Cricetulus griseus: one gene and its partner. The protein of the gene in region 1 interacts with the protein of each later gene in a pairwise test. Links are inferred from orthologs where the notes say so. Each region holds a gene or a part of one and is shown in the gene's direction. Other genes may lie near its edges.

Region 1 (4,606 bases):
TTTTATTATGTATACACTGTTCTGCCTGCATGTATCCCTGCAGGCCAGAGAGGGCACCAGACTACATTACAGATGGTTGTGAGCCACCATGTGGTTGCTGGGAATTGAACTCAGGACCTCTGGAAGAGCAGCCAGTGCTCTTAACCTCTGAGCTATCCCTCCAGCCTCTTATTTTTCCTTTTGAGACAGTTTCACTTTGTGGCCTGTACTGCATCCTTAATCTTTGGGCAGTATTTCCCATCTACCCCGTCATGCTCAGCTTTAGTGTATTTGCCCCACGAGGTGGGAGTGATCATTCCGTTTTACAGCAGAGAACCCAGCATCATCGAACAAAGGAAGAGTGTGAAGGGGCCACAGGCTTCCAATGCTAGGGACAAATGCTGGTTTCCTTTGCTGTCTCAGAGGAGTGAAGGCCAGCCCCGTGGCGCACATCTGCCATTCAAGCAACAGGGAGATGGGTTTAGTAGTCACAGGAGTTAACATCAATTCTGCCTCAAAGAACAAACCAAAGCCAGGCATAGTAGCACACACTTTTAATCCCAGCACTTGGGAGGCAGAAGCAGGCGGAAGTGTTTTGAGGTCAGCCTGGTCTGCCAAGCAAGTTCCAGGATACCAGGGCTACACAGAGAAACACCTTATCCCCCCCAAAAAAAAAAAAAAAATCAATGGCCAGCTGTGGTGGCACGTGCTTATTTTGGTTGTTTTTTGTTTTTCTAGAGATGGTTTCTCTGTGTATCTGACTGTTCAGGAACTCAACTGTAGAACAAGCTGACCCTGAACTCAGATCCTCCTGCCTCTGCCTCCCAAATACTGATATTAAAAGCAAGCGTTACTGTTGGGCGGTGGAGTCCCACGCCTTTAATAACAGCACTCAGGAGACCGGCAGATCTCTCAAGTTCGAGGCCAGCTAGGGTGTTGTGGTGGACTAACATCCAAGCCAAATAATTCGACTGTGCTGAAGATAAGTCCAGTTGGGCTTGTTGACAGCAGGTTTCGCCCATAGAAGGAGGGGGCAAGGAAGGTCATGGGACTTCACCCGCGTTCCCTGCTGTTCCTCACAAGCAGCTATGTAGCTGGGGCCTAGGCAGGGGCTAGAAAATATAGGCAAGGAAGAGGTAGGGGAAAAGACTATCTGTGCAGCGTGGGATAGGTGTGGCCTTTGCAGGTAGCACCACACACAAGTAAGTAAACCCTGTAGGCCCAGTAAATTCACTGGTTCCCCAGAATCATCTCTGATGGAATCATATTTCGGTCTACCCTTCAGACGTAGAAGGGTAGACATTGTGACACTGTTTAGGTCTTCATCCGGAAAGCACTTTTGTTTTTGGAGGTGGGGACAGGATCCCATTGTAGTACTGACTGACCTGGAGCTTGTTATGGAGACCAGGCTGGCCTCAAACTCGGAGATCCGCCTTCCTCTGCCTCCTGAGTGCGGGGATTAGACAGGTACGCCACTACACCCGGGAAGTAACTTTAACAACACGGCTACATCCTGAGACCCTATCTCACCAAAACAGAACAAAACCAAGTAACTGCAGCCTAGGGACCCAAACGCCCCCTAGCAACACGCAAGCGGGTCAGGAGCGGCGCGCGCGCTATGGGAGGAGCCAAACCTTCCGAGTCTTTCCCACAACAGTGGTGAGTCTCGGAATGAATTCCGAAGTAATCCCGACCTTAAACTATCCTCTCTAGCTACTTATGGAACTGCTGTGGTAGCCTGGGAAACGTTGAACCCGCCCATGGGCAAGGGGCGGATTTCCGGAGCGGCTCTAGTGGGAAGGCAGGACTTCCGGTAGCGGACCGTAGCTGGCTGCCCAGCGAGTTCGCCTTCGCCACATCCCGGGATGTCACAGCTGGGATCTCGGGGCCGTCTGTGGCTGCAGAGCCCCACCGAGGGACCGCCCCCTATCTTCCTGCCGTCGGACGGCCAAGCCCTGGTTCTCGGTCGGGGACCCCTGACCCAGGTGACGGACCGGAAGTGCTCCCGAAATCAAGGTGGGCGCGGGAGTGAAACTACGGCATCAAGAGCTGCAGGGAAACCTGTGCCTAACCTGGAGTTAGACAGGGCTTTCGGGGAGGGACAGAGCGGATCCGGGAGATTGTCACCGGGTGGAGGAGGATGCTCGCAGCAAAGAGACGCCTCTGGGCAGGATCTATCAGGCCATGCCCAAGACCTAGGTCTACTCAGTGTGTCTTATGGAGCAAGCCGACCCTACAGATTTAAAAAATCGTAGGTCCCGGTCCTATCGAGAGATAAACTGTTTCGGGCCGGGGGTGACACACACCTGTCATCCAGGCACTTGGCTGGTAGAAGTTTAAGGTCAGCCACCAGTGTGTGGCGACTTCTAGGCTACCCTGGGCTACTTGAGGCCCTGTGTTGGGGAAGGGAGGAAAGTGCCTTTTCCTTCGGAAGTGCAAGACGAAGTCTATAGCTGGCCACGCCCCATATGTGATGTAAACCCTGACTCCATCCCCTTACCCTCAGTGGAGCTGATTGCAGACCCTGAGACCCGGACAGTGGCAGTGAAACAGGTACCAGTGTCTCAGCAACGAGTAGCAAGGACTTGGGGTAAGGGGTCGGGGTGGGCCGCAACCCTTCAGAAGGTTAGTAGGTATTCCCTTTTCCACCGTGCCAAACTGGACTCCTTGTGACCTTTCAAAGTTCTGATTGGTAGCATGCAATGAATAGGTGGGAGATTAAGGTCTGACTGGGAGATGGGGTATTGGAATTGGTGGGGAAGCAAGTGTTCCCTGAGGAGTTGGAGCCGACCTTGGTTCCTCCTTTCTTCGCAGCTGGGTGTTAACCCATCAACTGTTGGGGTCCAGGAATTGAAGCCAGGGTTGTCAGGCTCTCTAAGCTTGGGGGATAGCCTGTATCTGGTCAATGGCCTATACCCCCTGACCCTGCGTTGGGAAGAGATTAGCACAACGGGATCCCAGCCAGATACTCCACCAGGCACTCCTCCTTCGGATCCAGTGGACAGGGAGGATGCTGAGCCTCAGAAAAAGCGGAGACGGAAATCATCCCCTGGCTGGGAGAGCTTAAAGAAGTTACTGGTGTTCACAGCATCTGGGGTAGAGTCCCGGGGCAAGGTGAGGCCACAGTCCTGCCGCTTAATACAGAGTTTGCTGTGCAGCCCTGGGCTAGTCTTATCAAAGTCTCTGAGTCTCAGCTGTTTGTTGTGAACAGAGACTGAGGTGCAGGATACAGATCAGGCCCTGTAATCAGTGATGATCAGACCTTTCTTGGATGTGTTTATGGGTTACTCTGAAATGATTAGGCCACAGAAAGTTTGGGGTCTAGTCCCTGGTTGGGCACTCAGTCAACAGAGAGTTTTGAATTTAAATTTTTATTCATTTATTTATGTGAGCCTGCTTGATTTTATGTGTACCACATGTATACAGATGCCTGCAGAGGCCAGAGAGCATTGGGTTCCCTAGAGCTGAAGTTACAGGCAGTTGTGAGCCACCTGATGTGTGTGCTCTGAGCCACTGAGTCTTCTTTTCAGCTCTTCCAACAAAGACGGTTGCTCTTTCTGAGCTGATAATCTTCCAAGAGATGCTCAGGGAAAAGGGGAGGGTGGGACACAGGTCTCCATTAAAGACTGGAAAGTGGGGAGCAGAGGACACAGGAGCAGTGAGGTACTGCTCTCCTGCCTCACTCATGCACACCCTGCAATAGGAGTGTCAAAGGGCCGGTGTCAACTGTGGGGAGAGTCCCTGTTGACACAGGGGAGTACCAAACACAGTACTGCTGTCCCTGTGTTTGGTGATACCAGGTGGCTGCCTTTGACCTAGATGGGACTCTCATCACCACTCGTTCTGGAAAGGTCTTCCCCACTAGCCCTAGTGACTGGAGGTGAGGTGGTGCCTGGCAAGAGGGTGGGAGCTCAGGTCCTCTAGGTTATAAGTCATTGCTGCTTCCCACCGACCTTAGGATTCTGTACCCAGGGATTCCAAAGAAGCTCCAAGAGCTGGATGCTGAGGGGTACAAGGTATGTGTGTGTGTGTATTCTCTAGACTCCAAGAACTACAAGGTGCGGGGCCTATGTGCATGTGTGTGCATGAACACATGCATGTTTGTGTAGAGTTCAGGCTGAGCTGTGGTGTGGTGAGCGCCAGTGTGTCCTTGTCTATCCCCAGCTGGTAATCTTCACCAACCAAATGGGCATTGGGCGAGGGAAGCTGCCGGCAGAGGTGTTCAAGGCCAAGGTGGAGGCTGTGTTGGAGAAGCTGGGGGTCCCATTTCAGGTACAGCCAGGGACACTGAGGGGCTGTGTGGGACAGGGACCCAAAGAGAACATGCCAAGGTGTGGAATGGAGGCCTTGGCTGGGGTTGTGCTGACAGAAATGACCTTGGAAGTCCTAAGCACAAGGACAGTGTAACTTGGCCACCTCAATAGGTGCTGGTGGCAACTCATGCAGGTCTAAACCGAAAGCCAGTGAGTGGCATGTGGGACCATCTGCAGGAGCAGGTGAGCATCCTCCTCCCTTCTATGTGGTCATTCCCAGCCTGGCTCCTGGTGACCTGCTGCCCTCGTTCCTTTGCCCTTCCTGGTCCTTGCCAGCTGTCGAGACCGGCACTCCCAATCTCTGAAGAGCAGAG
Region 2 (3,809 bases), on another chromosome or scaffold:
GTAGGAGTGGGCATGCCTACAGCTAGGCCACATGGCCAAGATTGCAGCTGCCATAAGCACCATCCCAACTGCTGGCAGAACTGGCTTTTTTCTACACAAGTCAGAAAGATGTGTGACCACCATAGTTCTGAGGAACAGATGCACCAGTCTATGAGCATTGCTAGGGTACAAAACCCGAGAGATTCCTCATAGGTCTGAGAAACGAACGCCCAAAACCCGAAAACCTCATTTGTGGGGGGCAAAATATGAAAACTAAAAAACTCTCAGAGCGGGCTGTAGAGATGGCTCAGAGGTTAAGAGTACTCACTGGCTGTTCTTTCAAAGGTCCTGAGTTCAATTCCAAGCAACCACATGGTGGCTCACAACCATCTATTATGGGATCTGGCGCCCTCTTCTGGCATGATGAGACACATGCAGACAGAATACTGTATACACACTAAATAAATAAATTTAAAAAAAAAAAAAAACAACTCTCAGAGCATCACGAGCAGACACTGACCCAGGCCAGCTCACTGGGAGCAGTTGGCATCCTCACAAAGAAACAGGACATTCCCAGGTGGAAGGAAGTTTCTGCCCTGAGGCAGGTTTAGCCATGATGGGAAGCAGTGGGACCCCCACAGTGGCAGGCATCCGCCCGAGGCCGCATTGCCAACCATAGATCACTAGCAGAATGTAGGGTGCTGATAAGCGGGCACATGGTTTGATATGGGGGCCCAGCTTCCATGAGAGAGGCAGAGAATATCCAAAGCCTATAATCTCCAGCATCCCAGAGACTAAGGGAGGATCAGATGCAAAGGGCACCCACTGATTTTGTAGTTCATCAAGCACAAACCGGGGGCCAGGGCTCCCGGAGCCACATTACGTGGTCACCCAATATTGGGATTTTCGACCAGTCCAGAAAACTCAAGAGACCACAGTCTTGATTCGAGTAGAGTCCTAACTCTAGGGAGTAAGGAGCGGGCTTACCAGACATGGCAGTGGTGGATGATAGAATCCAGAGATCCTTAGTTGGAGAAGTGGTTGAGTTGAAGTTTACAGGGTCCCAGCATATCTCAGACTACCACAGGCAGGAGGAAATGTCAGGAAAACCTGCCAAGTCTTTTGGCATCAATGTTGCTCTTTTGTTTAGGTTTAAAAATTAGAAAGGGGAGAGATGGAACCGGCACGATGGAACATGAACCATAGAGAATACATTAACCAGTTTATTACAGGGCGGGAGAGGGAGAGCATAGAGAGAGGGACAGAGAGAAGGTAAGAGGAAAAAAGAGCATGAGAGTAAGAGGAAAAGGAAGGTAAGAGAGCGTAAGAGTAAGAGCACATAAATGGGCTGGGGGGGGGAGGGAGGAGTTTAAAGGAGTCCTTTACACCTGCGTGCCGACTTAGTGCCCATGGAACCCTAGGCTGACCAGAGTACTGACTGAGTGAATTCTGCCAGGTAATCAGGGCAGGCCAGCATAATGCCTGAACCTTTCAGTAGTACACACCTTTAATCTTAGCACTTCCAGGCAGATCTCTGAGTTCAAGGCCAGCATGTTCTACAGAGCAGAGTTCCAGAACAGCCAAGGTTATACAGAGAAATCCTGTCTTTAAAAAGAAAAAGGAAAGCAGAGGCAGGCGGATCTCTGTGAGTTTGAGGCCAGCCTGGTTACAGAGCAAGTTCCCGGACAACCTCCAAAGAAATACAGAGAAACCCTGTCTCGAAAAACGAAAAAGAAAAGAAAGAAAAAGATCTTTGTGTGCATCTCTGTCATATATAGTTGAGACTGTTTCAGGCATACCCATTGACTTGCTCCCAGCACATGTGCCCTCTGAGGAAAGTCAGCTTGGTCTATTGTATATTGGTGCTTCCCAGGCAGTGTTTGGAATGGCTGGTATTCAGAAGCCCTCTCTGCTCCTGAGACTATTTTTCTTATGTATTATGCTTTCTTGGCACTATGTGGCTTGCCTTCTTAGAAGTTAATGGTAGTTACTTCACTGTTTTAATCATTAATAGAGCATTTATTACATATGTATATTTTGTGAGAGTTGCACTATAAGGCAAATGTTTCCTTGTATGTTTTTAAAGGTATATTTATTTTTATGTGTATGAGTGTTTTGCCTACATGTATGTGAACCACAAGCCTAGTGCCCGTGGAGGCCAGAAGATATCAGATCCCTGGAATTGAGTTACAGTTGTGAGCCAACATGTGTAAACTGAAACTAGCTCCTCTGCAACAGAGTGTCTGGGCCATCTCTCCAGCCCCTGTTTCTAAGGTTTTAATCTTATTTAAATTAATTTTAGAATTAAAGTCTTGCTGATCCACCTTAGCCTCTGCAGTGCTGACACCATAGGTGTGCAGCAGCCACTGGCTCCTTAAGAGTTATTACAGTTTAATCTGTGGCTCTTTTAAAGCCAATGCCAGTGTCTGATCTAAAGTGTGAAACTGAAGACATGCTACATTTTTTCCTACTGAAATTCATTAAAATAAATGTCAGTGTAGAGGGTTTGCCTGGTATGTGCAAGGCACTGGGTTCAATCGTTAACTTGGTGGGGGGATAGATAAAAAATGACAACAAGCTTGTGCATCTGTATTATGCTGGGAATTGTCTTCATTTTGTTTCATATTCAGATTCTTCTGGAATAAGCAGAATCACAGATGGGATCAGTGGGATCTTTTCTGACCATTGTTACAGTGTCTGCTCTATGAGACAGCCAGATTTAAAATATTTTGACAACAAAGGTAAGGCCCCTTTTTTCCAGAATGCTTTTACAGGACCTAAAGATGCCTCTGTGGTAGTGTGTGCCTACTATGTGTAAGAACTAACTCCTCTGTAGTACTACAAAAAAACAAAGCTGCCTTTACATTGTTTTCCTTAGGAATTATCTGAAAAGGTAGCAAACTCCCTCAGCATATCCCCCCCCCAAAAAAAAACAAAACAAACAAACAAAAAAAAAAACACAGGGTTTCTCTGTAGCCCTGGCTGTCCTGGAACTTGCTTTTGTAAACCAGGTTGGCCTCAAACTCACAGATATCCTCCTGCCTCTACCTCCCAAGTGCTGGGATTAAAGGCGTGTGCCATCACCACCTGGCATGAATTCCTATCAATATTCCTTCCTTAAGGAGATGGAACCCAACTTTCTAATTCTTCGTTTGGACTTCACAGTGACTTTCAGAGAGTAGGGTATGGAAGGGACAAGAACAGATTCACAGTACAGAAACCAAAATGCCACATTAGCTAAGTCAGGAGGGTTAGTTAGCTCAGTAGTTAGTGTGTGTTGTGGAAGTGATGGCAGTAGGGTCTACCATTCAGGATCTCATAATTCCAATCCAATCATGAAAAAAAGAAATAGATAAATTGTATTAGTGGAGCATTCTACAAAGTGGCTGACCAATAGTCCTTAAGACAATAAATGTATTGTGGGATCCAAAAGGACATTGGGTAAAACAAAGTAAGGGCTTTAGTTAGTAATAATGTATCAGTGTCAGTGGTCATATGTCATCACTAATTGCAACAAATCCCCCATACTAGTGTTAAGAATTAATAGTGGGAAATGTTGTGATATATTAGGAGTACTTTATACTATTTTCATGATTTTCCCAAGTCTAAAACTGTTCTTTTAAAAGTCTATTAAAACATACACGTTAGCTGGGCGTTGGTGGTGCACGCCTTTAATCCCAGCCCTCGGGAGGCAGATGCAGGCGGATCTCTGTGAGTTCGACACCAGCCTGGTCTACAAGAGCTAGTTCCAGGACAGCCTCCAAAACCCTGTCTGTGTGTGTGTGGGGGGGGGGGACGACGACGACATACACATGTTTCAGTCCAGTTTT

What was found.
Region 2: the proteins of Pnkp (region 1) and Znf639 interact in binary tests that used the Homo sapiens proteins (3 or more experiments, as listed by UniProt). The two-hybrid records come from large-scale screens. The link is inferred for Cricetulus griseus from reciprocal best matches to the Homo sapiens genes PNKP and ZNF639.

The regions. Positions count from the first base shown.
Region 1 is NC_048599.1:153,693,831-153,698,436, forward strand, and holds the start of Pnkp (bifunctional polynucleotide phosphatase/kinase), read left to right. Parts: upstream 1-1,628; 5' UTR 1,629-1,844; coding exon 1,845-1,995; intron 1,996-2,485; coding exon 2,486-2,532; intron 2,533-2,793; coding exon 2,794-3,093; intron 3,094-3,779; coding exon 3,780-3,859; intron 3,860-3,937; coding exon 3,938-3,995; intron 3,996-4,143; coding exon 4,144-4,251; intron 4,252-4,403; coding exon 4,404-4,475; intron 4,476-4,606. UniProt on the Homo sapiens protein: Plays a key role in the repair of DNA damage, functioning as part of both the non-homologous end-joining (NHEJ) and base excision repair (BER) pathways.
Region 2 is NW_023276806.1:116,836,090-116,839,898, reverse strand, and holds part of Znf639 (zinc finger protein 639), read left to right. Parts: intron 1-2,609; coding exon 2,610-2,720; intron 2,721-3,809. UniProt on the Homo sapiens protein: Binds DNA and may function as a transcriptional repressor.